Linked DNA regions of Yarrowia lipolytica. The protein of the gene in region 1 purifies or fractionates together with the protein of each later gene. This does not show direct contact. Links are inferred from orthologs where the notes say so. Each region holds a gene or a part of one and is shown in the gene's direction. Other genes may lie near its edges.

Region 1 (10,452 bases):
TGCCTAGGACACCCTAAGCGAGAATTATACCACTAAACCATCGGGCCACCGATATTTAGCATATTAGAGAGCGATCTCATTAGTTAGCGTCGTCGGATTACGTCATCTGTAATGAATCATTAGAATAAAAAATAAACTGATGATTCAGAAGTGTATGATTTATTGAACCCCAATAACCCGGCTTACAAAAAACATCTAGAGAATTGATGGAAGGACTACCTGTTGTCCTTCCATCAACAAAAAGGTTCTAATTGAGCTTACCATTTCACTACTTGTAGGACACTCACGCAAACAGTATGTAGTGTTTCAAATTGTAGCTACAATATGTAGGAGTATTCCAAGAGCTGCATAGTACTGTACTCTTCCGGGTTGGTCATTTTCACCGATGGCTTGTGATACAGTTCTTGTACAGCGCTCAATTCATACACACGTCGATTAATTACTGAATGGATAAATAGGGTCTTGACTAGACTGTGATGTCTTTACAAGAAGATGTCGACAGGGCCTAGACTCGTTAGTTGCGACTAAAGAACCGCTTCCACCGTCTCTGTGAGTACGTACTTCCCGCAGAAGTGCCTGTATCGGAGTATCCGACGGCCAGGCCCATGGAGGAAGTGGAAGCATGTGGAGAAGAAGGAACGGTAGAGGGAGTGAAGGAGAGACATACCTTTGAATCATTTTCGAGCGGGGAGAAAATCTCAGACCAGTCTGAAGAGTCTGAGGAAGCAGACTTTAAAAAGGCAATGCCCACATTATCGTCGTAGTCTACATCTCTCGTCAGATTGAGTTGGGGAGGTCTCATTTTGCGAAGCGACACCTTGGGGGATGGTTCGCATTCAGGGTCATTAAAACACTCCAGCAATTCGTCGGAGTCTCTGGGCGACTTTGGAGGTGTTGAAGTGATGACGAACGTTGGACTTCCGGTTGTGGTTGTAGCAGAACTTGCGGAGCTCGAATCTTGGTCTGTTCCGTTGCTATTGGTATCGTCAGACTCCTGGGTCAGGTACCCAGTAATAGTTCGGTCAGACAGCTTGGCGTTGAATATCGGGAAGGCCTGCGCTTCTTCCTCATCACTGTCGGACTGCTCTATGAATCTGGACACGTTTTGGGCCACTGTTTCCGAGAAATCAAACGAGATATTCTTTCTATGAGAAAGCAGGGAGCTGGATCTCGCCGAATACACCGACTTGGGTGGTGATAGAGACACACTTGATGGTTCCTGGAGACCTACAGAAGCTGGATTGCGCTGAAACTGTCGGTGGGAGATGTTGGAGATGATCTGGGTCGATTTAGCGGACTTGGGAGATCCGTTCACGGACTCTGCAAGAGACTCTGGAGGGGAATTGGGGAGGGGTACGGCTCTAGAGAGCTGCTCAGACCTCAACCACGACTCAATTGTCTTTGTCAGCGTCTCGTCAATCTGGGGAACGCTCATATTGAGGTACCGCGAGGTTTGAGAGGTGACATTGAGAGCCACAAAGTTTTTGTATATCAGAAGCCCATGAGCAGCTTCTGGGAGGGATAGCGACGTGAAGACAGACAAAATGGTGGCAAGTCCATCGCTGAGGAGCGAAAAGAGGACAGACAAGTCACGTGACAAGACGGGATACAGCACTTGTGGACAGGGTGCGATCTTGAGAATCGTGTTGGTCATGTCCAGTAAAGTGGACAACATCTCAACGTATTTAGGCGGCAGGGCGTCTGGTGACTTTTTATTCATGAGAGTATCGAGCGTGATGCTCTTATTGTCGAGTTTTTGCCTCAGAAAATCGGTTCCAAACCTCTCCTGGAGACTCAGACGCATTCGAAGGTATGCAAAGTACGGCACAAACAGCTGGGCTGTGGTTTTATCGGAGATTGCTAGCGGTTTGTCTTCATTCTTGGGATCCAGGGGCGTATGATCGAGCATTCCAGTCTTTCTCTGAATGTCCACCTGCTTGATGAAGTTGATGGGTCCGTCATTGAAGAGCATGTGAAGGATGATGAAGCATCTGGCGTAATTGGCGGTGGTAAAGGTCAAAACCACCCCTCGAGTGCACATGTCTCGAATGAAGTACGCATTGTCGGGTCTGGAGGAGACTAACGTTTGCAGCTGCTTGTAGTCATCCTGGGGTATTGGGTCCAGGAGCTTGCCTCGGGCCACTCTTCGTATCAGTCTGCCCATGGTGCGCTGTTCTTTCTTTCTTTCTTTTTTGCAAAACGGCGGGCGATGCAAGCGAGAAACCCACGTCTATATGACTTGTACGCGTCTACAGGCGGGGAGCACGTCCCAAACCAGAGAGGAGTCTGTCGCCCATAATAGTTCGGTTTAGGTGCAAACCTCCGCGCCGTTAGATCTGAGACCGCATGAAGGACGCGGCTGCCACCAAGGGTAATTAATAGGGGTAGAGATGAGAGACAAGCACGCTTTTGTCGCGAATGCCGCTTGTTCGGCAGGGGAGTTTTGGGTCTGACAAATCTCCCTCCTTTTTCCAGGAGTTTTTGCTTTGATTTTCTCTCCAATTGGGGACCCGGTCACCCGATCCACCAGAGCGTCAAACCGGCCCAGCCAATAGTATTGCAATCAAACTGAAATTATCATGTCCACTGCACTGAGACAAGCGGCAGGGTTTGACACGCCGCTACTGTGCTACTTGTACGATACACGGGCGACCTGGGGTCGATAATATGACCGCCAATGGGGTAATGCACCGAACTAGAGTAGCCATGCATGTTTCTTCGTTTCAGCCTGGGAACAGGAGCTGCGTTTAGTGGTAATAATAGTTGACATTTCTGGTCGAGAGAATGAAAGGCACCCACCCAAACATGAGCTGACACTCGCCAGCCCGAGCCTCGCTGCTGTAATATCCCTTTATTTTGCATGCCGGTGTACATACTGTACGAGTACATGCAAACCCCTGAACGCTGAATGTCGTTTCTTCGCCATGGAGTCTCCCCTATTATTTTCGACTGAACGCTGCTGAAACTCATCTTGCTGTAACACCACCGTGTGTTTTGAGGGTTTCACCCATGTCGATCAGACAGCCAAAGCGTGTGGAAACAGGTTAGACGGAGCGAAGCAGCCAGCCGTTCCAAAACCCACGTCTTGCACGCCCTGGCATGCAATTTCTGTCACCTGTCAACGTGTCTGGAAGCAGGGCCCCTCTTTTACATGCTCCCGAGACTCCACGTGCAGTTGAGAATGTACAAGTGAAACGGTGAAACGGTGAAGAGGTCCTTGATGATGAGTAAGCGGTGCGATGATGAGCGTCTGCTCAATTTGAAGACTGACTGGCCAACTCACTTCCTAGATGGACTATATAAACATTGTCTTGTACGACGTGGTATGCTCATACTGTACTCGTACTCGTACTCGTACTATGTTTTTAGTATTATGGCCTACTTGTAGTCTTGACAGTGGCGCTAATCTCAGGTCATTAATCAAACTGGAAGTTGAGGACGAGACGTCCAATTTCGACATAAACAACTGGCAGTGGTGGGCTGAAGACCGTTCTTTCGATTTCTGTTTCAATCAGGACTCAATGGGGTTACCCGATTTGTTTCGTATTATTTCGTATTCCGTGCACTTGGTGGCATCATGCATTGGTGACGGGACCTGACCTGAAATATGCAGCTATAAATAGGCATAAACAAGGGCTCCAGTTAAACGACTGATTTCGAAATGTTGAAAATAATGCAGTATTTGCGCGACCGAATTTGAGCACTTTTATGTAACAAAGAGACTGGCGCGAGTAATTGGAAAAATAATGCATTAATTGAAATATTGGAGAAATTTGGTAACATTTGGAATATTACAAATTGCTTGTGAATATAAAGTTTAAGCGAAATATTGGAGAACATAGGAAGCATTTGGATATTACCTGTGTTTGGGAATATAGTGTATTAATCGCAATAATCGAGAAAACTCAAGAATAACACGATCAAACACACTACAGAAACAAAACCTGTCCACCAAAAAAAAAAACTACCCAAGACTCCATGAAGAAAACGATGACATGACACTTACTTGTACTAAAGACACCTCATAGACCCTTCTAGAACTCCCGGTACGTTTTTAGTGCGCATTGTCAAGTGCACAGTAGCTTATGTACCTACTGTAGATACTGTACAGTCAGCTGTAGTCATGGATGCAAAGACATGAGTAAGAAGGAATTATACCCGGTTTGCCACGTTCAAATACGACACTACACAGGCGTATAGCGGACGGTCTAGCTTGCACCTCACCTCACTTGTTAATCAAGCCACTTGTAAACCCCTCACACTAGTCTGTTGAAGTCTCAGCTCTCTCTCCACAGTGTAGCGCTGAGTAATAGTGTTGTGCGAGTGAGACTGATGTTCATCATTGCGCAGACAAGTGTCACCGAGGCCGTCAAAAGGACTGGAAAGATGGAGGTGGAATCATGTGTTCAGATAGTTTTTCACACTTGATTCGTGTATTGTTTGTTCATATCAGATTCCGTGAAGTTATAGTATGGACTGTACGTACGCAGATGCCTCGTACTGGTTAACAGCCCACTATATCAAACCGCGATAATCCCCATCCGAACCAAAGTTCGCTATCGGGGCCTATCTCACAGGAGAGCAACGGTGGCGCGGAATCGCTGCCCGATAGAGTGTATCCATTGAGTATTCGTCATCTCGACCACTATTGCGAACTGTGGCGTTTTCAACGGCGCTGGTTAGGGTTTGGGGGAGGCTATTCAAAGTGGTTGGGTCATGTGACCTGGGTGGGCGGAGATAGTGGAGGTGTCTTGTTCGAGGGCAACCGGGCAGGCGGTGGCGGAGGGGATATCTGGGACACAAACAGACGACCTTTCTAACGAGTTCTGGTACTAATTTCCCCAAATTATTGCTCTCAAAGCCCTCATGATTCCTCCTACTCATTCCTCTTTACCACCCGCTTGCCCCGAATCGCCCTGATTAGACGCAAAGCCAAACCTTGGAGGTCAAGTGGTGTACTAATCGCACACACTCACAGCACACCACAGTGTTCCACCGACCCTCTTGAGCACCCTCCGAGACGATATTTCTTTTTGTGTTCCCAGTTCCGAGTGGCGACAAGTGACACAAACAGAAACCACAGACTACATAAGTGAGGCTACCCACCCAACAAGCAGTCTCCCCTCACTCGTCCTTCCACCGTCTCATTCAGCACAGGACAAACACAAACACAAACGCTCCAAGCCACAGACCGATCCGATGAAGAGCGAAGCGCGTGGAGAGCCACACCCCAACGGCAGTGGCGACGGCGCTGACACGGCCAGTGTCGCACCCACAAAAACATCACAGCCCCCCTCCGCACACCCTTCGTCGATCCTGACACAGTACATGAAGAACTTCCAGGGAAACCTGTCTCCCGACATGAAGGACATGCGACGATACTGCTACCGGCACCATCCGGACCTCAGTTGCTCCCGCGAGTCCGACGAAGAGTGCATGGCCCAGATCCAACGGTCTATGGACGAGCTGCCCGTCAAGGACAGAGAGGGCATCAGCCACTGCTGGAGCATTTTCTCAGCGTCCAACCCTCGCCAGCGCTCGCTCATTCTGCAGGGCATTCTCACACAATGCTGTTTCCCCCAGCTGTCGCAGGTAAGCTCGATTCTCAAGGACCTCATTCGAATCGACTTCATCTCGGCGCTCCCCACAGAGGTGGCCTTCAAAATTCTGTGCTACCTCGACACGGCATCTCTTTGTCGAGCCGCGCAGGTCAGCAAGCGATGGAAAATGCTCGCAGACGACGACGTGGTCTGGTACCGTATGTGTGAGCAACACATTGACAAAAAATGCACAAAGTGCGGCTGGGGCCTGCCGCTGCTGGACAAGAAGCGCCTGCAGCAGAGCAAACGGTCCATTGAACTGCGGGCCAAGAACTTCAACCCCAAGGTCGACACCCAAGGACAAAAGGTGGAGGACAAGGAAGACCAAACCCCACAAGAAAAGGTGGAGGACCTGACAGGGGAAAAGCCATCTTCCTCGTCAGACGTCCAATGCGGACACAAGCGAAAGAGAGAAGACGACAATGTGGCCATGGCTGCACCCAAAACATCCAAGACGCGACCCTGGAAGGAGGTCTATGGAGAACGATACATGGTGGAGCGCAACTGGCGTACCGGCAAGTACTCGGTACGTAAATTTTCCGGCCACAAGCTCGCCATCATGTGCCTGCAGTTCAACCACCAATTCCTCATTACTGGTTCCTACGACACCACTGTCAAGGTGTGGTGTGTTGAGACTGGTCGGCTGATCCGAACCCTCGAGGGTCATCGTCTGGGAGTCCGGGCTCTCATGTTCGACGACACCAAACTCATCACGGGATCTCTGGACCACACTATTCGAATCTGGAACTACCGAACAGGTCAGTGTGTGTGTACCTTCCGAGGTCACGAGAACAAGGTTCTTGCGGTTGATTTCAACGATTCATTGATTGTCTCTGGTTCCGCAGACAAGACCGTCAAGGTGTGGAACTTTGAAACCAAGAGCTGCTTCACTCTGCGGGGCCACACTGACTACGTCAACGACGTTAAAATCCACAGCGCGTCGGGCCTGCTTTTTTCGGCCTCTGACGACAACACTGTTCGAGTGTGGGACTTGGAGACCAAGCGGTGTCTGCGGGTGTTTGGTCACCAGAACACCGGTGGACACGTGCACCACATTCAGTCCGTCATTCCGTTGACTCTCGACCATCTGGAGGACGTTGATCATTTGGATGCCGATGAGAGTGCCATTGATGACGCTGATGCCAGTGTTGTTGATGAGGCCGACAATGGTCACGAAAGTGCAATTGACGACTCTACCGATGGTCCTGATCTTGCTATTGCTGATGGAGAGATTGCTGTCCAGCGAAACTCCTTCTCCGTTGGCCAAGTGTCTCAATGCGACATTTTCCCTGAGCCCAAGACTCCCCTGGCTCGAAAGCACTACCCCACACACATGTTGACGGGATCCCTCGACAACACCATCAAGCTATGGGACATCAAGACCGGCAAGTGCGTTCGCACTCTGTTTGGTCATGCTGAGGGAGTGTGGTCGATTGCTGCAGATCATTTCCGAGTGATTTCGGCGTCGCACGACAAGACTGTCAAAGTCTGGGAGCTGCATTCTGGTAGGTACATGCACACGTTTGGTGGCTACCGCGAGGCTGTCACCTGTGTGGCCATGAGCGACTGCAAGTTTGTCATGGGCTGCGAGGACGGTGTTGCCCGTCTGTACAATTTTGACATGCCTTCCAGAGCGTAAAAAAATGAGAGGAGAGCGAGACAGAGATCGAGAGAGAGGTCGAGCAGGGATCGAGACAGAGATCGAGACAGAGATCGAGACAGAGATTGAGAACAGAGAAACGACGATGACTTATTTATTAATACCCCCATAGAGATAATTGAAAAAAAAAACTTGATTGAAGTGCACCAATAGTGACGTGACATGCCTGTGTAGGAATCATGAACTGAGAAACGCCAGGGCAAGCGGTGGGTCCTACTATGGCTTTGTCTCTTGCCTCTTTCAATTGCAACTTCAACACTTCCATAGCTTCTGTGACGGTGGACAGTGGACGAGGGTGTAGACTTGATTTGTATGGCTGTGTTGCCATGGACGTAGAAACAGTGACGGCGAAAGGTGTGTTGGATAATTACTCTACAGACACGAGTGATATATAAGTATCTGGTGCCTGTACAAATGCTATAGGATGGCGTGGCTTTCATTGCGTGAATCTATTGTATCATCGATATGGAAGTTCAAGACTGCCTATCTTCAAAGAATATGTAGCAAGCGTATCTGAAAATACTGACATGTATAACAGTGGCTGAATAGTGGTAGTTCAGAGTATCCGCCAACTGAATAGCGACTTAGATATAGCTCTAGATCTTACTGGCGATGACTTTTGAGGTCCTGGTTTGTTCAGAAGGATAAGAACAAAAAGGGAGAGATACAAGTGAGGAAGGAAGTGGCAAGAGAGATGGGATTGGCAAAAGAGGGAGTTGCTAGAAGCCCTTTACAATAAGGCTTCATATGTAGGTCTGTATACAACAACTCTGGACTTCACACCGGGTTGGCGACGAAGCACTACGAGATTATGGTGAACGGAAAGCTACAAGACGCTTACTGTTCAAGAAGCTGATTCTTTGATTTTTGGATCATGAGACTCAGAGCTCGGGTGAAGAGAACTCACACTCTGCTCCGTCCAGTTGCGGGCCCATATCCTGGTGAAAATACGGCTTCCCGTCCGATCAGCCATTAGTCAAGCACCAGAGAGCCCAGTTAGTATTGTAGTGGGAGACCATACGAGAATCCTGGGTGCTGCAATTGTCATTGCTTCTACGGATATTTTTTTTTCTTTCTTTACAGTCCCGTATGTTCTTTTCATGTTTTGTCTCCAACCTTCGTCCTAGTCATCATGAGATGTAGAACCACAATGAGCTTATTGTGAGAAAGAGGGGGTATTGGGGAGTTGATTAGGTGGTTGTATCGGTCACTGAGGTCCCATTTTTCTACTATCCAGGATTTTATTGACCCTGCTTTGTTATGTCAACTCGTATTTCTCAGTGCAGAGTTGCTGTGTGTGTTTATAGACAGATGAGCTTTGTGTGAGAATGGGGGGTTGATTATTGTACTAGATAGTTTCCAAAAACGTCATTGTAGACGTTCCAAAAGCCTGAGACCACAAGAGGGTCCCCAAATCCTTTCATACCGTTCTCCTGTTCAACAGCAACCGCAATCATAGATGTCCAAGTATCAGAGCTATAGCAAAAGTCAGATACTCGCGCAGAAGATACTAGTGACGTAATTGCGGCGCTTCAGAAGCGCAAGTACACTACCTAGTTTAGAAAGAAGATATCTCTCCGAGCCGCTGATCTCAAACACAAACTTCTCATCTCTGGCGTTACTGAACGACAGGGCTTCTTCGGAGTAAACAGGATCGTATCCAGCCCACCAGCTGGGCATGGGTCGTTCAAAGAGGAAACTGAGGAATTTGCTTCCCTTTTCCAAAAACGATTGCCTCCGAATAGCTCCGATAATATGAGGTTAGTGCTCATCAGAATCATACAAGCGGTTGTATGAGTAACGGGTCACCTACAATCTCAACTGTCCCCTTACCTGTCCATGGACACATGATTCCGACAGCCACAGCGCCTAACGATACGTGATAGAGCGTGATGATGGGCACCTTTATTAGCCTGCCACTATCTACAGGTGCTCGTACTACAGTCCGATCTCGAATGGGGTACAAAGGTTGCTACAAGAATGTGGAGCGTAGTGGTAGACAGTTGGAGATTGAGTATGATTACATAAGCACATAGAAAGGCACGGAATTTATCAATCTCCGTGTCTCGTGTCGCATGACTGTTCCTATGACCGGCGCACAAGCCTCCTCACATGGAAGATCGTCCAGGGGTGTCAGACCTTAAAAAAACGCGTCCGAAAATTCAAATGAATTAATGACAGGGATTGATGCATAGAACGAGGAGGGGTAAATGTGCAAAGTTCTCGGAATACGGTCTGACAGCAGGTGTGGATTTCTTGTGGATTTATGTGATTTTCTCTCGTTCTGTAATCCTTTATTTTGTGCTGTTTGGCTAGCTTCCTTGCGTCATTTAACCGATGGAATGGCGTGTGCGGTTTGTACTGCTATAGAAAAATATAGAAGCGGCCGTTTTCGGTAAAGGAGGTTAAGAAACGAGCCTCACCTTGACGTTGGGTTCAACAGAGGTGAAACCTGTGTTTAAGACCATCAGACTTTGTCGGCTTAGTGTCATATTTCGCATTTTTTTCAGTTGGCATTTTTTCGCCATGTCCACGATTTTCCGGCATAATTTTGTTTCCGCAGGCCCTGAGTCATCGCCAAGCCCAAGTGATATTCATGTCCTGTGATGTGGTAGCAACCTATAGCAAAGTAAAACGGCAATTAGCAAAAGAAAAGACTGCGGGCTCGTATTCAATACATTCCTGTCGAGTGTAACTTTGGTGCGTGAAAAAAATGGACGCAATACCGCACCTGGGATGACAGAACAATGTCTCGTCAGTGTCGTTTCCACCTGCATGACAATCTACAATAGACAGATTTCAGGTAGCTCCGATTTCCCTATAATACACTAGCGAGGCACGCGGTTGGGATTTATTTTTGTGGCAGCCATGGACCCAACAGCTCATCAGACTACAAGTACGTTTCAAACCCGCTTTCGGCCGCCACTGACGTCACGCAAAGTTTTTCAAGGGTTTGGTTATCTGTGAGAAGGTGTCAGAAAGTGTCAGATTTAGTGCGGGAAAAAAGTGAAGAGCGGCGTAGGGAAAAAATCCGAAAATAATACGACAAATGCTGGGCACAGCAATTTCTTCACAGTGCTGAAGGGGTATAGAATCGGTCGTCTTTTGCGGTGGATTTTCCTCCGATATTTCCACCTCTAATTCAAAATACAAAGTGGAAAGCTCGAGGGTAAAGAAGCCCGTCACGTCTGC
Region 2 (10,706 bases), on another chromosome or scaffold:
GAGGTAGAAGAGGTGGGAGTGAGAGAAAGACGAACTAAGTAATTCATATTCATGTCACGTGAGTCATTGGGAGACGTCGGTTTGTTGTCACGTGATAACACGGAATCGAATTGACGTCACGTGTCCAATATCATTTCCTTCAGTCCCATCTGCAGGAGAGAGAGAGAGAGAGAGAGAGAGAGAGAGAGAGAGAGAGAGAGAGAGAGAGAGAGAAACGTTCACAGTAGAGGAGTAAGCGTCAGGGTGACGTCACGTGTTTATTTACAAATTTAGATTGATGTCACGTGACTAATTATTGGTTTCCACGTGACCCAGCTGGTCCGTTCGACAAATTTTAAGCCCAAAGCAGATCTTGACTAAGTACAGTATGTACGTCGGATTGGTGTCATGTGACGCAACAACTCATTTTGAAGTCACGTTACCAATTACAACCCCGATTCTTTTTATCACGTGACCAATCAGCCTCCATATCCAATACCATTTTCTCTATATACAATCTAGTTCTTTGGATGGCCCTTCTTTGCGATTCTGATACTCTCGTCTTCGTAGCCGGGAATCTGAATGTAGCTGATTCCGGCCTTTTCCAGCTTTGCCAACGAGGTGTTATCTTTGATGAAGTCGTCGGGTTCCAGAACGCCAACAAACACGGTCTTGATGCTCGAGTTGAGGATTCGGTCGACGCAGGGCAGGTTTCCGGAGAGTCGTTCGGAGCAGGGCTCCATGGTGGTGTAGATGACGGTGTTTTCCGGTACGTCTGACACGTTGTTTTTAGCAAAATACTTTTCCAGAGCGCATTGTTCCGCGTGGGTGTTCCCGGGCAGTTCTCTGGAGAATCCTGTTTCCAGCACTTGTCCGTCCTTGACTAGAACGGCTCCCACGCAGAAGGCGGAGGGGGTTCCTTCGGACTTGTCTGCCTCGGCCACCGCCAAGTCCATGAACTTTTTGTGGGGTTGCGACGCCCATTCTGGCAGTTTGGTGGAGTAGGACCACTTGGGGGCGTTGGGGTTGTCTTCATCTGGTTTGGAGGAGTAGGTGAAGGCATGAAGCCATAGAGACAGATCGTTGGGGCCCGGGTCGGTGTATAGGGGCGTTTTGCACGTTTCACAGGAGCCCGAAAGCACTTCTCCCAGGGGTTTGTTGGGGTCTGCTGGAAAGAACCACGATTCGGCGGTTTTGGTCTTGCCCACGTCGTCGATCATTTTCATCATCACGTCGTAGTTTTCAAGCCCACCTTTGCCCAGGGATTCGCCCCACATTGTCGGCGACGAGTAGAGCGGGTCGTTGGCGATGGGGTGGCCCAGAAACTGCAGATGGACGCGGATCTGGTGGGTTCGGCCGGTGTATGGTTTGCACAGCACGATGGACGTTTCTCCGTCGTAGGAAATGCGTTTGAAGACGGTTTTGGCTTCCCGTTCGGTGGCGCGGTCCATCAGAGCCCGGTGGTGGTCTCGGTCCACCTTTGTGGTGACGATGTTGAATCCGATTTTGGGGTCCAGAGTGCACAAGTTTTCGTCGACGGAGATTTCGCCGTCGGGGAACTTGCCCACCACCCGGGCCACGTATTGTTTTTGCACCTGGCGGTCTCGCAGCTGGGCGCCAAACTTGTCAGCGGACTTGGGGTTTTTGGCCATGAACATGAGGCCGGAGGTGAGTCGATCAAGCCGGTTGCAAGGATGAACATGGAGTCCGTTCACGTGCTTGAGGATGTTGACGGCGGTGTTGAACCTGTATCGTCCCGCCGGATGAACCGGCATCCCCGACGGCTTGTCAATCACCACCAAATCGTCATCCTCGTGCACAATGTCAATCTCCTGGTCGGTGACTGGCGGTTCGTGCTTGTGCGATCTGTGCTGGATGGCGTCGCCGTTTCGAACCACCGAGTCCACCTGGGCCACCTTGCCGTTGAGCAGCACCTGGCCGTTCTCAATCGCCCATCGGTAGTAGCTTTCGTCTCTGTCTCTGAATTCGTTGGCAAAAATGTCCAGCAGTTGGCGGTCTCTCCACCGCTGCTTGCAGTAGGTCAGATAGGTGTAGTAGTATGGTGAGACACGTCGCAGGCCGTCGCTCAGCTCGTACTGGGCCCCATCGGCCTGCTCGTCGCCGTTGATCTCCAGATTCTTCACCTTTTGGGCCCGCATTTTGAACCCGGCCTCGTCGCGCGACGCCTTGGCCTTTTTGGTCGGTCGGTTGGAGAGCATGGAGAAAACTATTCGCGAAAACTTTTGTCGGTCTCGCGGTCGTAGCAGTCGCCCAGATTCTATCGCTTCCAGTTGCACGGTTCGAAACGTCAGAATTTTCACCAGCTCGTGTAGCATGGAGAGTCTGGTGAACTGTGTTTTGCAGTGGGGAGAAAATTCCGAAAAAATAATGAAGAAAGGGGAAAAATTGGAAAAAAATCGGAGTAGATGGTAAAATTGCCGAAAGGTGTTGAATTGAAGCTTGTGAATCTAACTATTCAATCTGATTGCGACTGCCATCTCTCTAGCCTCTGATTGGTTCATTGTTGTGGGATGGATCAATCCAAGCTTTGGTCAACTAAATGCCAACTACGGATAGTTGGGATATAGAACAACCAGAACAACCAGAACAACCAGAACAACCAGAACAACACTAGTCCCGGGCTCAGTACGTACTTATAGACACTAGTTACACCATATAACTCAAGTCGTCGTAATACCAAAAGATATCTTTAGAAGCCCTTCCTGTTGAAGCCATTCCTCAACCATTCCCCAACCATACGAACTCAACTAGTTCCAACTAATTCCAACTAACCCTAACTAATCCTAACTAAAATTATGGCCTAGCGCTTAAAAAACCTGCCTTGTTTAATCGCAAGTTCGAAACCCAGCTGAGTCGTAGTTCCACCACCATGTAGAAACTCACGGGTGCGTAACCCCACTCAGTGAACTGTTCCAAAACAGTCACATGATCCTTCGTGTCAGTAGAACTCTTCCCAAGGAAAAGGTCACGTGAATCGCCGTTTTAAGCGGTGACATGTCTTACTGTTTGACTCAGTAGGGGAAGGGACTGGCTGCTGTTAAGACTGTTGTAAAGGCTGTAAAAACTGCAGTAGACATTGTTAGCAAACAATTTTTTTAATCTACTGATGAAGGAGGGGCTTCTGTTGGTTCCCTCTCCAGAGCTGTTCCTCTTCAAAGCTGTTCCTCTTCAGAGCTGCTCTTCAGAGTGCTTCTCCCTCTAATCCCTTGTAATCCTCAGCACTGCCTACGAATCTGGTCTGGGCCGAGCCGTTCCAGATCTCGTCGCTGGCACTTGCGGACAGTTCTCGTCGAAGCAATCGACTCAGTTGACGCAATAAACTGTCGATTCTCAAATCTGTCAAAGCATTTCCAAGACCTCCAAGTGGCCTCATCAAGTACCGCCCTGCCCTGATACACTCGCTGCCGTGCGTGCAGTTAATGTAATGATTAAATAAAATATTTTGTCAGCCGGTCGCTGAATCATAGTCCTGTAGTTATTGTAGTTGGGGTGGGGTGGGGTGGAGTAAACTGTGACAGCAGAGCAGATGAAATAGATGAAATAGACAGTGTTGTGTCTGGCGCAGGTTCGCGCTCGCTCAAGTTCACGCTGGTCAAGTTCACGTTGGTCAAGTTCACGCTGGCCAAGTTCACGTTGGTCACGTTCACACTCGCTCACACTACCTATACAACGCCCACGCAAACAACAAGAAACCCGCAATGGAAATCCAGCCCATTCTCGTGGTGAAACCCAACAGTCCCAGCGCAATAATGTAGTCCATGATCGACGTTCGGATATGCAAGAGTTCGGAAACGTGGGCAGCAGACAGAATATGAGGAGGAACATCGCCCTGCTCAACAGCGGTGGATTGGGTCAGTTTCACCGACGCCCACAAGTACACGGGCTTGTGGTCTGAAGACATGACGGCGGGGATCGAGTCGTATTTCCGGGGCACCACTGCTCCTCTATACAGCACTCGGTCGCACCAGGACGGAATTCGCTTGGTGTTGTATTCGGACGTTCCGGTGTGGAACTTGTAGGTTGGTTTGAATCCGATTTCGGCCTCCTGGAAGTCCCAGAAGGCATCGAGCGACCTCATGGCGTAAAACAGCTCGTCTACCACCTTGTAGTCAGCGAGTCCCTGCTCGTTTTCCGACGCTCGGTAGTTGAGATCACCCAAAAAGAATACCGTGGCGTCATCGTAGATGCCTGTGCGTGGGTCGAGGAACTTCATTTCCTTGGCAATGGTGGCGAAATCGTCGTTGCGCTGCTCCAAAAAGCCCTCATTGGCCGCCAGGTGCGCAGCCACACACACAACGGGATTGCCATCAACATTGAGTCGGAGACCCACGGCGCCCTTGAGCGACGACCAGAACATGCCGCACGCCACGTGGCACAACTTGACGTCGGTGACAAGCACATCTGCCGACGCTATTGCCACCAGACCCATGGCTCCAAACGTGTGTTGACCAACCACCACGTATCGTTCGAGCCACGGCTGGTCCCTGATCGCCTTGAGAACCTGCTGAATCAGATCATTGAGCGGATCCACCGCATATCCAAGACACCCATCGGGAATCGAACACAGCTCCTGATACCCAAACAACAAGACATGGGGCGCATCAATCCCTGCCAACTCGGCGGACAAATGCTGGTAGTACTGCGTGTCCTGGGTGAGCTTGCCACAGTTGAACGTGGACACAAAGAAAGAAGTCATGCGGCGAAAAAATCAGAAAATTGCCCGATTGAAATGGTCCGATCACTGGTGGGATGTAAATAAGTAGGATGGGCAATGTATGCATGGTGTACGCACAGGGAGCTACTTGTAGATCACGTGATAAGGTGGATTGGGCAAGCTGACAAGGAGTCGGAGAATTGGTCATGACCCTGGACCACCGTGACTAATCCGGACTCGGTTATATTCCTCCAAATCCACATGTTCCACGAGACCCCCGCCGCCCCCCACAGCTGACTAAGCTGATTAAGCAGCTCCATGGTGAGCTGTCATTTTGAACCCTAGTTGGCTTATCGGCTGCAACTATGACGACAGTACGAGAGGGAGGGGAGGAGGGCGGTCGAAAGGGTCTCCCAAGAGACATGGGCCTAGAGAGGCATGTTGCTGACTAATCGGAGGACGGAGAGCCCCCCAAACGCCACGACACCTTCCATCCCGTTCTTATAAGCTTATATAATCACCATTTCCCAGTACGCCCGGCCGTCTGGGCAGGATGAGATCTGTTGAGGCTGGGTGGACAAAGTTCACCACGGTAGATTAGGCAATTGCTCTGACGAAGGTACTGGAAGGTCTTGAGTAGAGGCCACGTTGTCGGGATGATTTGGGGGTTTTAGAGACGGAAAATTGCACAGAGCCAATCTATATAAGGCTGTGTGTCGCCATGTAATATTCTTTCTCATGGATCATTCCTCCACGGTCCAGTTACGTGGGTGTTTCCTACTCCCTTCCGTCTCTCACACTTGTCTACTTGTCTACCCCGAACCTTAACTGGTAGGTCCTGGCACTCGCACTTTTAACTGTGGCAAACGCACTTGTCTTAACTCTGCACTGTACACATCACCATGACTGACAATACCGAAGAATCGAAGCGATTGATCGACAATTCCGGTGCTGCCGAGAACGCCGACGACTCTCTGGCCACCGCCATTCTGCGAAAGAAAAAGAAGGACAATGGTGAGTATTTCGGGTGGCGCGGCAACGTGGGTTATGTGGTGGTCTGCCCGCAGAAACATGAGACCCCAGCAGAGAAAACCGCAAGCAAGCCAGCAAGCAATCAATCATACTAACATAGCTCTTGTCGTGGACGATGCCACCAACGATGACAACTCCATCATCTGCATGTCGCCAGCAACCATGGATCTGCTCCAGCTGTTCCGGGGCGACACAGTGCTGGTCAAGGGCAAGAAGCGAAAGGACACGGTGCTCATTGTGCTGGCCGACGAGGAACTCGAGGACGGCGTGTGCCGAATCAACCGATGCGTCCGAGGCAACCTGCGAGTCCGGCTCGGAGACGTGGTTTCGGTCCACCCCTGCCCCGACATCAAGTACGCCACCCGAATTTCGTGTCTGCCCATCTCCGACACCATTGAGGGTCTGACCGGCTCGCTGTTCGACGTCTTCCTCAAGCCCTACTTTGTCGAGGCTTACCGACCCGTGCGAAAGGGCGATCTGTTCACCGTGCGAGGAGGTATGCGACAAGTCGAGTTCAAGGTTGTCGACGTCGACCCCCCGGAGTACGCCATTGTCGCCCAGGATACCGTCATCCACTGCGAGGGCGATCCCATTGAGCGAGAGGACGAGGAGGGCAACCTCAACGAGGTCGGCTACGACGATATTGGAGGCGTGCGAAAGCAGATGGCCCAGATCCGAGAGCTAGTCGAGCTGCCTCTGCGGCACCCCCAGCTGTTCAAGTCTATTGGTATCAAGCCCCCCAAGGGTATTCTCATGTACGGTCCCCCCGGTACTGGTAAGACCCTGATGGCTCGAGCCGTGGCCAACGAGACCGGAGCCTTCTTCTTCCTGATCAACGGTCCCGAGATCATGTCCAAGATGGCCGGTGAGTCCGAGTCCAACCTGCGAAAGGCCTTCGAGGAGGCCGAGAAGAACTCTCCTGCCATCATCTTCATTGATGAGATTGATTCTATCGCCCCCAAGCGAGACAAGACCAACGGTGAGGTTGAGCGACGAGTGGTTTCCCAGCTGCTGACTCTCATGGACGGAATGAAGGCCCGAGCCAACATTGTCGTCATTGCCGCCACCAACCGGCCCAACTCCATCGACCCTGCTCTGCGTCGATTCGGCCGATTCGACCGAGAGGTCGACATTGGTATTCCCGACCCCACCGGTCGACTTGAGATTCTGCGAATCCACACCAAGAACATGAAGCTTGGCGACGACGTTGATCTCGAGACCATTGCCGCCGAGACTCACGGTTACGTCGGTTCCGATATTGCCTCTCTGTGTTCCGAGGCAGCCATGCAGCAGATCCGAGAGAAGATGGATCTGATTGATCTGGAAGAGGAGACCATTGACGCCGAGGTGCTCGACTCCCTTGGAGTCACCATGGAGAACTTCCGATTCGCACTCGGCAACTCGAACCCCTCTGCTCTCCGAGAGACCGTTGTTCAGTCCGTCAACGTCACCTGGGAGGACATTGGAGGTCTCGACGGCATCAAGCAGGAGCTCAAGGAGACCGTCGAGTACCCCGTTCTGCACCCCGAGATGTACACCAAGTTTGGCCTGTCTCCCTCCAAGGGTGTGTTGTTCTATGGTCCCCCCGGTACCGGTAAGACTCTGCTTGCCAAGGCCGTTGCCACCGAGGTGTCTGCAAACTTCATCTCCGTCAAGGGTCCCGAGCTGCTGTCCATGTGGTTCGGAGAGTCAGAGTCCAACATCCGAGACATTTTCGACAAGGCCCGAGCTGCCGCTCCTTGTGTTGTCTTCCTCGATGAGTTGGATTCCATTGCCAAGGCCCGAGGTGGCTCTGTTGGCGATGCCGGTGGAGCTTCCGACCGAGTTGTCAACCAGCTGCTGACCGAGATGGACGGTATGAACGCCAAGAAGAACGTGTTCGTCATTGGAGCTACCAACCGGCCCGACCAGATTGATCCTGCTCTGCTGCGACCCGGCCGACTGGACCAGCTCATCTATGTGCCTCTGCCCGACGAGGCCGGCCGACTGTCCATTCTCAAGGCGCAGCTGCGAAAGACCCCTCTCGAGCCCGGTCTGTCTCTGCAGGAGCTTGCCAAGTCTACCCATGGCTTCACTGGTGCCGATCTGTCGTACATTGTGCAGCGATCTGCCAAGTTTGCCATCAAGGACTCCATTGAGGCTGCCATCACCGCCCAGCGGGAGGCTGAGGCTGCCGGCAACGAGGACGTGGAGATGGAAGACCCTGTTCCTTACATCACCCGGGCCCACTTTGAGGAGGCCATGAAGACCGCCAAGCGATCTGTCAGCGACAGTGAGCTGCGTCGATACGAGGCCTATGCCCAGCAGATCCAGTCGTCGCGAGGAAACATTGGTTTCCGGTTCAGCGAGGACGCTGCTGGTGAGGCTGCCGCCGCCGACGCTGGTGCCGGCACTGCTTTTGGTGCTGACCAGGAGGATGACCTGTACAACTAGACGTATGAGTTTGAGCATATAGCAATGACATGATAATATTAGGATGTATATATAATAGGATGTAGTGGTTGTACTTGTACCTAGATTTTTTTTTTTTCTGCATATACATTCATTTAATTATAACTTTGCTGTGAAAGAATAACCTTTGAAATGAATGTACGCTTACACGAATATTACTAATTAAACACGTTTAGAGTATTGGTGGTTGCAACCAAAGCCAAGTAATGCACTTGGGAGTTTACACTTATTGTGAGACAATTACTTAGCTTCAGTATAGTACATGCAGTATTGTACTCGTACTGTACTTGTTCCTCAATAGGACCTTTTTTTCCATTTTTGTTCATGTGACTTTTTTGTCGCCGTTATTATCTTCTTATGGTCAGTTTCGCGATTACGTAAGCCGTTTATGCCACGTTTCAGTGGCGATTTGACCCCAGATTTAGCGGCCGATTTAGCCATTTGCCACCTGATTGAATTTTCGGTGGAGCTGCACGTGAATATGATAAGGTTTGGGGATCACAACATTTGATCTGAGCTGGACAACCGATATAAAAACAAAAAAACAAGACAAAACAAGACATTTCCTGTTACACACACACAACCATGGTCAATGTTCTTTCGATTGCTAGCCGGTTGGCTATGATGACCTTGTCGTACGTGGTTGGGGCGATTCAGCCGCCGCTACAGTCGATTTTCTCCACGCATCCCGATCTGATGGGCATTCTTCTGGTGCTTGTCATTTTCTACGTGTCTTTGCTGGTGTTGAAGCAGAGTCTGCGGTCGTTCTGGGGGCTGATCACGACGTTTGTGCGGATGTTTGTGTTGTTGGCGGTGGTTGGAGGTGCTGGGTGGGTCTATGTGCGAGGGGTGGGTGGCACGATTGACGACATTCAGGCGCTGAGGGCTGGCAAGATGGACCAGTTTATGGACGGCGACTACCAGACGTACAAGCAGGGGTTTGATTACTCGCGCAAGTTGTACGAGGAGGCTGCGAAGATGAAGGGTTCGGGCGGCGGTCAGTATGACTGGAAGGAGATGATGGACCGGGTGGACACTGCCGAGGTTGCTCAGTTGTGGGAGCGGTTCACCCGGGGTTTTTGAGCAGAGTTGGAGAAATGAAGGCGGTGGAGTAGTTGAGGGTAGCAATCAATGAGTGAGTTGAGCAGACTGAATGTGAGGGAGGAAGTCTTTTGCTCTGTGCGAGTTTTGGAGTCTTGAGTGAGTTGAGGAAAGGTGGTCATGTCTGACTGTGACGGAAGTCACTGACTCTGTGCGAGTCCTGGAGTCTTGGATTGTTGGAGTGTTGAGTCTTCGTGTTCTTTGTATGTCCAAATGACCATTTGTACTGGGCTCTACGAGACGACATGGAATGACCTCAACTACATGCCTCAACTACATGCCTCAACTACATGCCTCAACTACATCGACTCGACTTCTCTTCACCTAGCTAAAAATAAATGTCATGTTTCAACGGCCACGGCTGACCACCTAGCCCCTTTACACCTCGTCGGCTGGCCTCGTATTTCTGTAGAAAGTCCGTAGATCGCGGTCTCGTGTGCATCCGGAGTTAACGCGGCTCGATCGCTATTTCCGGTTATCCAGCGTTTCGGATTTAACAGTACAATACTGGAACACTGTACTCATATTCATGCTCATGCTCACGCTCATGCTCACGCTCGTAGTCTGGTGGCCACAAGACCCCGTAAAAACAGATTGAGAGCAAGTATCGGAAATCTGAAAAGTGCAAATGGACTGTGTGCGACGCTTAGTCATGATTGCGCCGTCAAACCTGCCCCGGCCGCGTCCCAGCTCCTCCAGCGGCCGTGGTTGGTGCGCCCTCCTCCCCCAAATCCCTCAGCCTTATGACCACCCGTTAGAGTCTAAGCCTAAGTCTATTTTGGCTGGTGTTTTGGGAGAAAAGAAAAGCAGAGAAATATAAGCAAGGCAGGGGCACCACCAACCTCACACTCACCCACTCACCCTTTCACACTTGCGCGGTGACATTGACAAAGACACAGACACAGACAGAGACACAAAGATGAAGGTGGCAGACACAGCCTACTACGACCTGCTGGAGGTGCAGGTGGACGCCTCGGACGCGGAAATCAAAAAGGCGTACCGAAAAATGGCGATTCGACACCATCCCGACAAGAACCCCGACGACCCGACCGCCAACGAGCGATTTCAGGCGATTGGCGAGGCGTACCAGGTGCTGTCGGACAAGGACCTACGACAGCAGTACAACGAGCACGGCAAGGACTACGCGGTGCCGGCCGAGGGCTTTGCGGACCCGGCCGAGTTCTTCACGATGATTTTCGGAGGCCAGCTGTTCAACGACTGGATTGGCGAGCTGTCTCTGCTCAAGGACATACAGAAGAGCATGGAGATGCAGGAGGAGGCCGAGACCGAGGAGGGAGCCGAGGGAGCCGGTGCTGGTGCTGGTGCTGGTGCTGGAGGCGCGGCTGCTGGAGGCGCGGCTGCAGGGGCTTCTGCAAGTCCCGGCGGAGTCAACCACTCCACTGCGTCGCTGACAGAGCATGCTCACGAGGACAAGACCGGCCCCGTCCATCCTCCCGGATCTGCGGCG
Region 3 (9,789 bases), on another chromosome or scaffold:
TACTACACCACTGGTGGTGTTGGACAGGTTATTGGTGACTCCATCTCCGGTGCCATCTACCGAACCCTCTACCCCAAGTACATTCACAAGTACGCCCCCGATATCCCCGCCAAGGACCTCAACATGATCATCAACAAGATCAAGAAGGCCACCAAGTACCCCATGGGCTCCAAGGTCCGAACTGAGATCAACATGGCCTTCAACGAGGCTATGCGACACATGCTTCTCGGTCCCTTTGGATGCGTGGCCGGCATGATTGTTCTTTCTCTCTTCTACCCCATGGTCAACCTCAAGGAGGCCTCTGACGACGTCTACGATGCTCCCGACAACTCCGACGGAGAGGACATCTTCACTCCTCACCCTGCTCCTGGCACCGAGGGCGATCTCGAGAAGCAGCACTCCGGAGACGAGAAGTTCGAGAGTAACTCCGAGAACGGCGAGCACACCAACTCTGAGGAGGGCAACCTGCCTCGAGTCTCCGCTGAGGCTGCTGCGGCCTCTTACATTAATAACACCCAGGTTTTGTAACCGGGCAAAAGTAACGATTTATGACTAGTAATAATATGTGTTTTGATTACATGAGTGCGAGTATTTGAGACATTGTGGAGCAACAGTGTTCATAAATGCTGGAACTGACGGCTGGATCTTTCAGTCTAGGGCTTCAGTGGACATTCTGAGATTAGTACCGTGGCCTAATTAAGGGATAGGGATGACCACACAAATGTTTCTGGATCCGTTGGAGGAGTCTGTGGGTGATTTTCAACTGCTTATAGTATCGTCTATACGAATTATTACTCTTATCGGACTTCTGGATCTTTCGCAATCCCCAGATCCTGTGATCTCATCGCTATGGCACGTGTTACAAGCGTAGATGGTAGCTATAGAACGGATTATGCTAGAATAAAGGGCATTGGTTCAATCCAGCTGCTTCCAGACTTACCCATGTCACTATTTAATTACTCGGACCCACGAATCGACTTCCCACGCAACTTACAATACCGTTGGTACATATTGTACAGCTTTTACCCACCCAAATCAGATTAGACCTCACATCCACGGCACCGGTCTGGTCTCTTGTCGCTCCATCTACTGGATTCGTGCTTTAACTTGTCTCTTTTTTTACTCATTGTATGTTGTCTTTTTGTAGCCGTTGTAGCCGTCCGTGTCTCACATATCCTCACTCAATGACGAGTACAGCCACCAGGTACCGGGGAGGGGACGACTACATTTCACAGCCAACTGTCCACAGTAGATAATCAAAACTGATAGACTTCTGCTAGCGGCAGGCAACATCTCTGGTCTCAAACCGGCTCTTTGTACCCACCAAACAGGCACACTAGTACAAGTTAGACTCGAACTCTGGCCAGTGTGGCTGAAGTTAGACACACGTTTCACTTCCTAGTGAGTAGGAGGAGCGAGAGGACGGTGGGGTTTACATACCAGTATATACAAGTGGGTGCAAGTAATTGCCTGTAGGTCGCGCTGCTGGGGCCGACCTGATGGGGATGAACAAATGTGGTTCCAATATGTCATCGTAGTGGTCGTCGATCTTGTCTGAATGGTCGCTAGGCGGTGCCGACTTCCAGTACACACTCCAGCCATCATGAATCAATCTGATCTACACAAGTCTTGGTAACAGCTCAACTCAGGCCTCAGATTCATCTCCAACAAACACCCCTTCTATCACGTGACTCCCCATCTATCCACCTCCACCCTTCTGGAGTTGATCTTCCATGCAACCAGGTCTACCGATAAGGCGGCCAAAAAAAGTAAAACGAAAAATCGCAAAACGAAAAGCCCAAGACCAACAAGAGAAGATACTAACTCAACCTGCTCGCTTAAAGGCTACAAAATTGTGTACTTGTACATTACCCGTGTTATCAATTCCATCGCGGTTTTCTAGGCGAGCGTTGGTTGTCTGTGTGTGAACTGATTCATGGTAGGACGATCAACCGCTCTTTAACTACTGTTCAACTGCTGCACATGAACTACACTCAACTACTGATGTATCTCCATAAGTGGCAAGTATCGTTTCAGTTCTCACACAACTACCACCACTGTCACCACCACTCATAGCTATGCTCTTACCTTCCTGTACCGGACCGACGATTAGTCTCTCCTTATCACGAATTCAACTGCGCGACCAAGACATAATCAGACAAATGTGCACGAACTCAGTTGCTCTATCCAATCACCGTTTGCCCATTTCCAATCTTCCAGAGCCAAACCGCGAGCAACTATCCCTGATTAGGACTCAACAGGCTCTGGTTGAGACTCGAAGCATCTTAGATCGGTGCATACATGATGGGCTGTACAGTCGGACCATGATGTGGGGGTCAAAGTGGGTTTTGAAGATTACGTCGGTAGCCGGGCGATAGTGAAAGTAGATGTGAAAGACATGACTTTGCCTGCACACTTGGCTTGCTGTTCCCTTTCTCATATTGTAGACATGATCTCCATGGCTATCCTAGCTTGACCAAAGGCACCGGTAGTTGTCCCACCGGAGTATCAGTCGCCATCAGCTGCAACGCCTCATTAGCATCCCTATCCTCACCTACATCTAGCTTGAACTACAATGTAGTTACAATGATACTCGTAGTAGCTTCAAACTCATCCGCACAGCCCTCGTAGCAAACAACTATCAATAGACCCAGTTAATAGTAAGACAGGGGTATATCAGAACAGTCTCGCATCTTGTTGTCAAGGGCTCACGGATAGTAGCAGTCCATGATCTTTGCCAGTATGTACCTACGAATGCTCTATCGTACTTATAGCAGCTACTTGCACCAGTCGGTGAAAGGTTCGACATCTGATGTCCGATAAGACGATAAGAGCCTAAAGACACCTGTGGGAAGTAGCTCATGATTACTTGATCATGTGCATCTACTCTCGTCTACTTGTACTCGTGCTATTCACGGAACCAATCTTTTGTCTATCACCCTGTCTATCTAACAAGCAGGAAATAAATATAAATGAGCAATCTTGCGATCTTGTCTTTGATGAGCATGGTGATTCCCTGGGAAAAGAAGCCCTTGAGAATCTGGCCCTGACAGCCCTCCCATAGTCCAAGAACTCCCTCCTTCTTGATCGTATCCACCACCATCTGCGAGGCAGACTTGGCCTTGTTAGAGCCACTGTCAGACTTGACCTGAAGCCGGGTCTTGGCCAGGATGTAAGGATAGGTGATGAGACCGGCCAGAGACTTGGCCAGGGCCGAATAGAGGAACAATTCGCCTCCAGTAGGGTTGTCTCGTCGTTTATAAGGGATCAGATTGGCCTTGAGAGCCTGGAAAAAGTAGTAGGTCAACGAGGGGTTGATGGAAAGAACCACAGTGGCCTTGTAGCCTGTCCAGAAGCCAGTGATGCCCTTCTCCTTGTAGATATCCTTGGCGATCTGCACAGCAGAGGGTGTCTCGACGGTGGTGGGTGTGACAGGAGGGACCTCGGGGTTAACGCCGGTAATGACGTGACCGTACTTCTTTTCGGATGCGTGTGCAGCTGCCTCCGGGGTAGCTCTGTTGCTCTTCTGCACCAGAGCAGCAGTCTGCTGTCGGGTGACAATGTTACCGAGAGGAGAGGTGATGAATCTGCAGAAGATTCCGGCCAGTGATCCCACCAGCAATTCCTCGGCAATACCGAGGGTCTTGGGCAGACGGCCATTGGGCAGGCGTTTCATCTTGAGTCGGTTGTTTCGTAGGAAATCATAGGCGAAAAAGTAGAAGAAGGCGGACACCATGGTGGAGATGGTATCCTGAAACGCTCCGTCGTACAGTGCAAAGATGCCCTCGTTTTTGACAATCTTGGTGAACGCGTCCAGGAGAGACTTGTACTGATCATCTTCGTCCAGGTAGCCCTTTTGAACCTGCAGACGAGTGGTGACCAGATCAAGAGGGAAAACAGCCAAGTTGGCCACAGCTCCTCCAATAGCTCCGGAAAGAGCGGAGGCTCCGGCGCTCATGTCCGATGGCTCGAAATTGGCGGCTCGCTCGGCGGCGGAATCGGGTTTCGACATGTGGAAAGTGTGGTGTGTGTGGTGAGCAACGTTCCGATGATGATGGAGATAATGACGACATGTAGGGTTGCAATTAGAGTTCCATCTAAGGGATATGGAGTGAGGCATTAGCGAAAGGGTGAGGGGATAAAAAGGGGAGATGTCGGTATCAATGGAATCCCCAGGGTTGAGCGAGTTGAATGGTATGATTCTTGTTTCGGTCAGATATATATTGAGAGATATGTTGTGACATTGGTAAACTGCATGGATTAGCTATAGTTGCGAGTTTTGGTCCGATTTCGATTTTGAAAGAACCAACATGGAGCCTGGTCAATCTAGAATGGATCTGTCTCATAAAATCCACGGGATTTTTACTTTTCACCCTCATATTCGTCATCCCTCTCGCTCGTCGTCCTCCCAAACGTACTGCGAGAGATTACCAACTCTAAAAGAGCCTAAAAATTACGTGGTGCCGAAAGATTCTCCAGCTGTTAGTCTGTCCAGGGGCAACTGTCAGGTGGTGATGATGCTGTTTGGGAGCAGCTTTCGGTAAAGATATATAGACGCGATTTCGCTGCCATTTTCCTCTCCCAAAGAACCACTGTCCAACTACCCCGCTTTCAGGCACGCATCATGTCACAACCTCAAACCTCGGTTCGGCATGCAGCGTAGGCATAAGTCCGGGGAAGTTGTGTTTATAAAACAGACGCGGTGTGGGGAAGCACGGTAGGGTAACCGGAGAGTTGTGGATGGGCAACTGCAATAGACTGGTTTTTCTGGGTGATCTGACCCCTCCGCGTTGGCTACGGCTTCATACTGACGCCATATGATGTTGATCTTTGACCGACTTTAATATGTTTGCCGAGTCATGGAGCGAGCTGATGCAACTTTAACCAGAGTTGTTATTGGTACACATGTCTGGGGTATAAATGCAGCTTCATGGTTATAAAGGGTCCAAGTTATTGTTGCTGTGGAACGGAGCGACATTACGGTAGCGGTTTGTATGGACAGGGTCTGTTTTTATCGCAATAACGAGTGTGGTGTTCTTGGTCGTGGTAGGGAGGGTATAGCTCTGATAATGGTGGCATGAGCTGTATCGAGAAGACGTGAATGGGTCACCGGATCGGACCTAAAATGTTGACAAGTGATTTGGGCTCGGACTCGAGATGAGTGCGAGCTCGACCTATCCTATGGTTGTGTGTCTGTGAGATAACTGGTTTGAAGTTTCCAAACATCTCTGATTGTTCCGCAGTTTGAGGGGAGGCTCTTTCTGCTGGACCCTTTCAACTATTCCTTAAGTAAACTCAACGTCCAGGTTTCGCGTAAAACAACGATAGCGGCAGATTTTAATAGGAGAAGGTAGTATAACTTTTGCATTTTTGTTGTATTACGTTTATCAAGAACCTTTATATCTATTTTATTATCTTCCACAGCTTCTGGAACACTGTTTTTGAACCCCCAGCCGACCATTTTCCTTAACTAAATCTCAACTAATGAGAGAGTTTTCTCCTTTTTTTTCCATATTGGCAATGGCCTTATCCTGCAACCTGAACATCGGGTGTATTTGGTTACTGATTGATTATACCGTCATTTTCTCACGTTTACCGTAATTTACAACCCCATCATACGCCTGAAGGACGTCCAATCTCCCCAAATCCCATGTCCGGGCCTTAGCATCCACCTATTAGTGGTGTTACATGGGTGATACTAGTGCTGGAGCTTGGGACCCATGCAATTTTGGGGCTCCTGAAAGGTCTCAAATTGGTTCACTTTGGTCCTCCGACTGAACTACTTGTACGAGTCCAGCACTTGTAGTGTTTGTTGGCTCATTAGCAAGAACAGTTGCTATCGGCCTTGTAAGAACAGACGTCTACTGTACATTCTGTACTGGTAGAATGAGCCAGTGACACCATGTCAGCTGTCAGCCATCAACTGTGGTGAATGAAGAGCGACTGGGTTATACAGTAGATTATCCACGTCTCCCCATAGCAATGTAACATGATGTTAGCACCTCCCATCAGCTATGGTACAGGGCTATGTTGCAAAGCAGTTTAATTAGCTACAGTATTGGCGAACTTTTACGAATACTGTACCGGCCAGCAGCAACATCTGAAGTCGTCACTACTCGGCAATCTGCGACCTCGGAAAGAATTAAAAAATAAAAAAAGGGCTTATGTAAGCTGTAGCGTCATTTATCAGCCTATTTGGACCTCTTTCACGTCACTATTCTGGCTACGGTGCCAGTTTACGTCCTCTACTGGTCCGCGTACCTACTCGTATCATAGTTCTGGCCCTAACCCAAGCCACATGCAGTAATGTTGGTCTAAATAACTTTGGTGGTTGACTAAAAAAAGACAATCGCTTTGTCATATACAAGGTACAGTATAATGGAGAGCTTGTTCTTTGGGGCGGTACATACGATACTTGACGATACTTGACGATACTTGACGATACTTGACGATACTTGTAGCTACCTCCTGCTCCCCTAAAAAGGATGTTCTTTTGTTGTTTTTTTGTCGACATCGATGTGAAAAATCCGTCTTTACGACTCGCTTCCGCAGATAGATATATACTCCTCATATCCTCTCGATTCTCCCACTCGCACTCTTATCAGCGCATATACTTTCACAAGCAGTGCGAAAGGGCGAAAAGGAAATGCAAGCGGAAAACGGCAAGCGGAAAACAGCAAGCGGCAAGCAGCAAGCGGCAAGCAGCAAGCAGAAAGCGGTCACGTTGAATCAACCCCGTAAATTCATGGTCATGCTGACAGACTGGGTGGTGGAGATGGTGGGTGATACATGGCGTACGTAGACATTAGAGGCCGAGACGGGGGTGCAAATTGTGAGAGGAGAAGAAAGATCGTTAGGGAGGGCGGGCTGTTTATATGACCACAGTGGAGCAGCAACTGTAGCGCTCCGGCTCCCCTCCCCCGCCACTGTCTTGTATGGAGGAGGTGAGGTGCATCTGTCGCTCCTTGCCTTGTGCCACACCAGTCCCAACCCAACCCAACCCAACCCAAGATGCAGTCGACAAGAGAAAATTAGCCTTTAGGGCCTCCCACTCCTCAGCTGTGTCTTCTCATTTCTTCCAACTCTTCTCTCATCACACTTCAAATCACACCTCACAGAGAAAAAAACCAGGGCCAAAAAAAAAAAACACAAAAAAAAACCTCGACATCATGAGCTCCAGCAGTGCTAATCTTCTTATGAAATACTACCGGGAGCTGACCGATCCCAAGAAGGCCATCCCTAGTTTTCATATTACCGTGAGTAGTCAGACACCCAAAGTGACAGACCAGAGGTCTCGAACGAACCCAACCTGTTGGTGGTGACGCAGAAACGACAGCAGCGGTGAGGGTGAGCAGGCGGCGTGTTGGTGGTTGTGGGGAAGAGCGTTCGCTGTTAGCGCTTCTCCCTGCCCCAAACCTCGTCATCTACCTGTTCAAGAACCGCGCAGGTGCGTCAGAGTGGGTCACGGTGTGTCGCAGAGCACCACAGAGTGTTTTGTGGTATGAGTGTTCCTAGGGTGTGCAAGGGATTCAGATGACATGTTGAAACGGTTTCTAAGACGTGGGTTCCACGAGCTGTATCCGACACACCTGCCTTTCCCCACCCCCCTGACCACCACCTTACACAACCTGTGCCCCACAACCATACGCGCATACTAACATAGCTCGAGGATGACAATATTTATTCATGGAATGTGGCCGTCATGGTCCTCAACGAGGACTCAGTATACCACGGCGGATACTTTAGAGTGAGTACGCAGACACTGATGCTGATTTTGTGGCCCTGTTGGAGGGTTACATTTGATGTGACACACGACACGACAGGAGAACAGAGGGAGGCAGAAGGTAGGGCAACGGGATGCAGAGCCCTTGGTGGAAGTAAAGGTAGCACCGTCGGAGATACAGAACACCAAGTATCGTTCTCCGCTTGGCGGCCATTCACACCCCTAGCTGGTTTGGTGACCCCAAAGTTGGTTTGCTGTTGACCTTGTGGCGTGCCAGCTCGAAACCATACGTGCTATCGGGCATCCATCGGCCGAACCCCGCACGCGCCACAGTACTCACAATGTACAAGTTGCGGTGTTATTGAAGTGCTACTTATTATTTCCCGTCTTCTCTGTTTCCTTTTTTTTTTCCTGCCCCTCCGTCCATTTCACCGCACCACACCCACCAAGGTGTGGCCTGTATATTATTGAGTTTTCCCCGGCAACCGAGATCGGGAATCCGCAGGACAGGACGGAAACACACAGGTAAATACAAGACAAAACTAACACAGGCACAAATGACATTTCCCGCGGACTTTCCGTATGCGCCGCCAAAATTCAAATTCACCCCACCCATCTTCCATCCCAACGTGTACAGGGACGGCCGGCTCTGCATCTCGATTCTCCATCCCGGCGGTGACGTCATGAGCGGAGAGCCAGACCAGGAGTGCTGGTCGCCAGTGCAGTCGGTGGAGTCTGTGCTCATTAGCATAGTGTCGCTGCTGGAGGACCCCAATATTAACTCGCCAGCCAACCCCGACGCCAGCGTCATGTGGAAGAAGGACAAGGAGGAGTACCGAACCAAGGTGCTGCAGGACGTGAAGCTGAGCCGAGAACATATTCCCGAGGGCTTCGTTGTGCCATCCTCGTCCTCCGCCTACGTAGCTCCCAAGGCACCCGAGCACAAGGACGTTGTGGATGACAACTTTTGGTACGAGTCGGACGATGCCAGCATGCCTGACGACGAGTCCATCGATGAGAGCGAGGTGTACTCTGATGACGACGAGGATGACGACGATGATGACGACGACGAGGATGAGGAGTAGGCATACCAACTATTTGAACCTCACCGACCCCAGAGACTGACCGCTTAGAAACCGAACATAGTAATGCATAATGTGAAAGAGAGATAAGCGGTGTTTTGAAGTGCACAGCAGTAGAAGATCCTGTACGATAGATGTGTATGTCCAAGTACAGTGCGCAAGTATTGTACAGTATTTGTACGATTGTCAACTTGCTCCCGTAACTGATAAGTTGGCAGTTGTAGTTACACGGGCCTGCCATGGTAGTTTTTCGTAGCTCTTGCTATTTTTACGACACTACCTAAGGATTGATAGTGGTTCTGTCCAGTAGAGCTATCTACAGCTACAAGTAGCTCCGATCTAAGTTCTACTTGTGGTTGTATCCTAGCACTTATACTGTACATTTCTCATAGTAACCATGTCTATAATATTATCTGTCGTCTCGTTGAGAAAGAAAGAAGGGTGTCTTTCGGGTGGACGGAGCTGCATATGTGGGTATGGAGAGGGTGTCGCGGGCATTTGTATTTCAGTGTTTCGACTCCCGAACCTTTCTCTGATTATTGATGGCTCCAACACTCCATTATTTGTAGTCAACACGTATAACCCACATCTTGTATGAGCGATTTGTCCCCTGTTTGGCATTTGGGCCTCTGTTTATATGCAAGATTATGCATGCTCTTGCAGCGGGTAGAGAGTCCATCCATGGTTGTTAGCGACACAAGTTGTAGCGAGGAGCTATGTGGGTGAAAATTCACTTGGGGAGGCCAGATTTTGTTGTCTTTGTGTTTTATGACTGTATCGGCGCTGAAACGACGACAATTTGAGTACTTGCTGGCGCTTATCCACGGTTGTGTTGTCAGGGCAATGCTAATACATGTCACCATATGCACACCACACCCACCACTGGGCGCGCAGCTTGGGCCAAATTACGCCCTTTTGGACTCACATGCCTTGCGATTTTACGTGTTTTTGGAGCGGGTGTAATTTACAGCGCAGTCCGTGAGC

What was found.
Region 2: the proteins of YALI1_B13355g (region 1) and YALI1_F16035g purify together in Saccharomyces cerevisiae (affinity purification with western blotting, with the first as the bait; 3 studies listed by BioGRID). This does not show direct contact. The link is inferred for Yarrowia lipolytica from reciprocal best matches to the Saccharomyces cerevisiae genes MET30 and CDC48.
Region 3: the proteins of YALI1_B13355g (region 1) and YALI1_C07979g purify together in Saccharomyces cerevisiae (affinity purification with mass spectrometry; 3 studies listed by BioGRID, with this or other methods). This does not show direct contact. The link is inferred for Yarrowia lipolytica from reciprocal best matches to the Saccharomyces cerevisiae genes MET30 and CDC34.

The regions. Positions count from the first base shown.
Region 1 is NC_090771.1:1,330,708-1,341,159, forward strand, and holds YALI1_B13355g (uncharacterized protein), read left to right. Parts: upstream 1-4,866; coding exon 4,867-4,899; intron 4,900-5,097; coding exon 5,098-7,239; downstream 7,240-10,452. Other genes in the region: YALI1_B13328g (uncharacterized protein), read right to left, coding at 515-2,164; YALI1_B13401g (uncharacterized protein), read left to right, coding at 9,471-9,655, 9,724-9,955; YALI1_B13411g (uncharacterized protein), read right to left, coding at 10,192-10,452. UniProt on the Saccharomyces cerevisiae protein: Substrate-recognition component of the SCF(Met30) complex, an E3 ubiquitin ligase complex that mediates the ubiquitination and subsequent proteasomal degradation of target proteins. Negatively regulates sulfur amino acids biosynthesis genes expression.
Region 2 is NC_090775.1:1,598,531-1,609,236, reverse strand, and holds YALI1_F16035g (uncharacterized protein), read left to right. Parts: upstream 1-5,665; coding exon 5,666-8,119; downstream 8,120-10,706. Other genes in the region: YALI1_F16069g (uncharacterized protein), read right to left, coding at 498-2,315; YALI1_F16058g (uncharacterized protein), read right to left, coding at 2,794-2,949, 2,995-3,164, 3,223-3,373; YALI1_F16045g (uncharacterized protein), read right to left, coding at 3,659-4,696; YALI1_F16005g (uncharacterized protein), read left to right, coding at 8,723-9,220; YALI1_F15990g (uncharacterized protein), read left to right, coding at 10,158-10,706. UniProt on the Saccharomyces cerevisiae protein: ATP-dependent chaperone which probably uses the energy provided by ATP hydrolysis to generate mechanical force to unfold substrate proteins, disassemble protein complexes, and disaggregate protein aggregates.
Region 3 is NC_090772.1:790,773-800,561, forward strand, and holds YALI1_C07979g (uncharacterized protein), read left to right. Parts: upstream 1-7,169; coding exon 7,170-7,256; intron 7,257-7,663; coding exon 7,664-7,747; intron 7,748-8,274; coding exon 8,275-8,808; downstream 8,809-9,789. Other genes in the region: YALI1_C07894g (uncharacterized protein), read left to right, coding at 1-528; YALI1_C07948g (uncharacterized protein), read right to left, coding at 2,945-4,120. UniProt on the Saccharomyces cerevisiae protein: Catalyzes the covalent attachment of ubiquitin to other proteins. Capable, in vitro, to ubiquitinate histone H2A. Mediates the initiation of DNA replication (transition of G1 to S phase in cell cycle).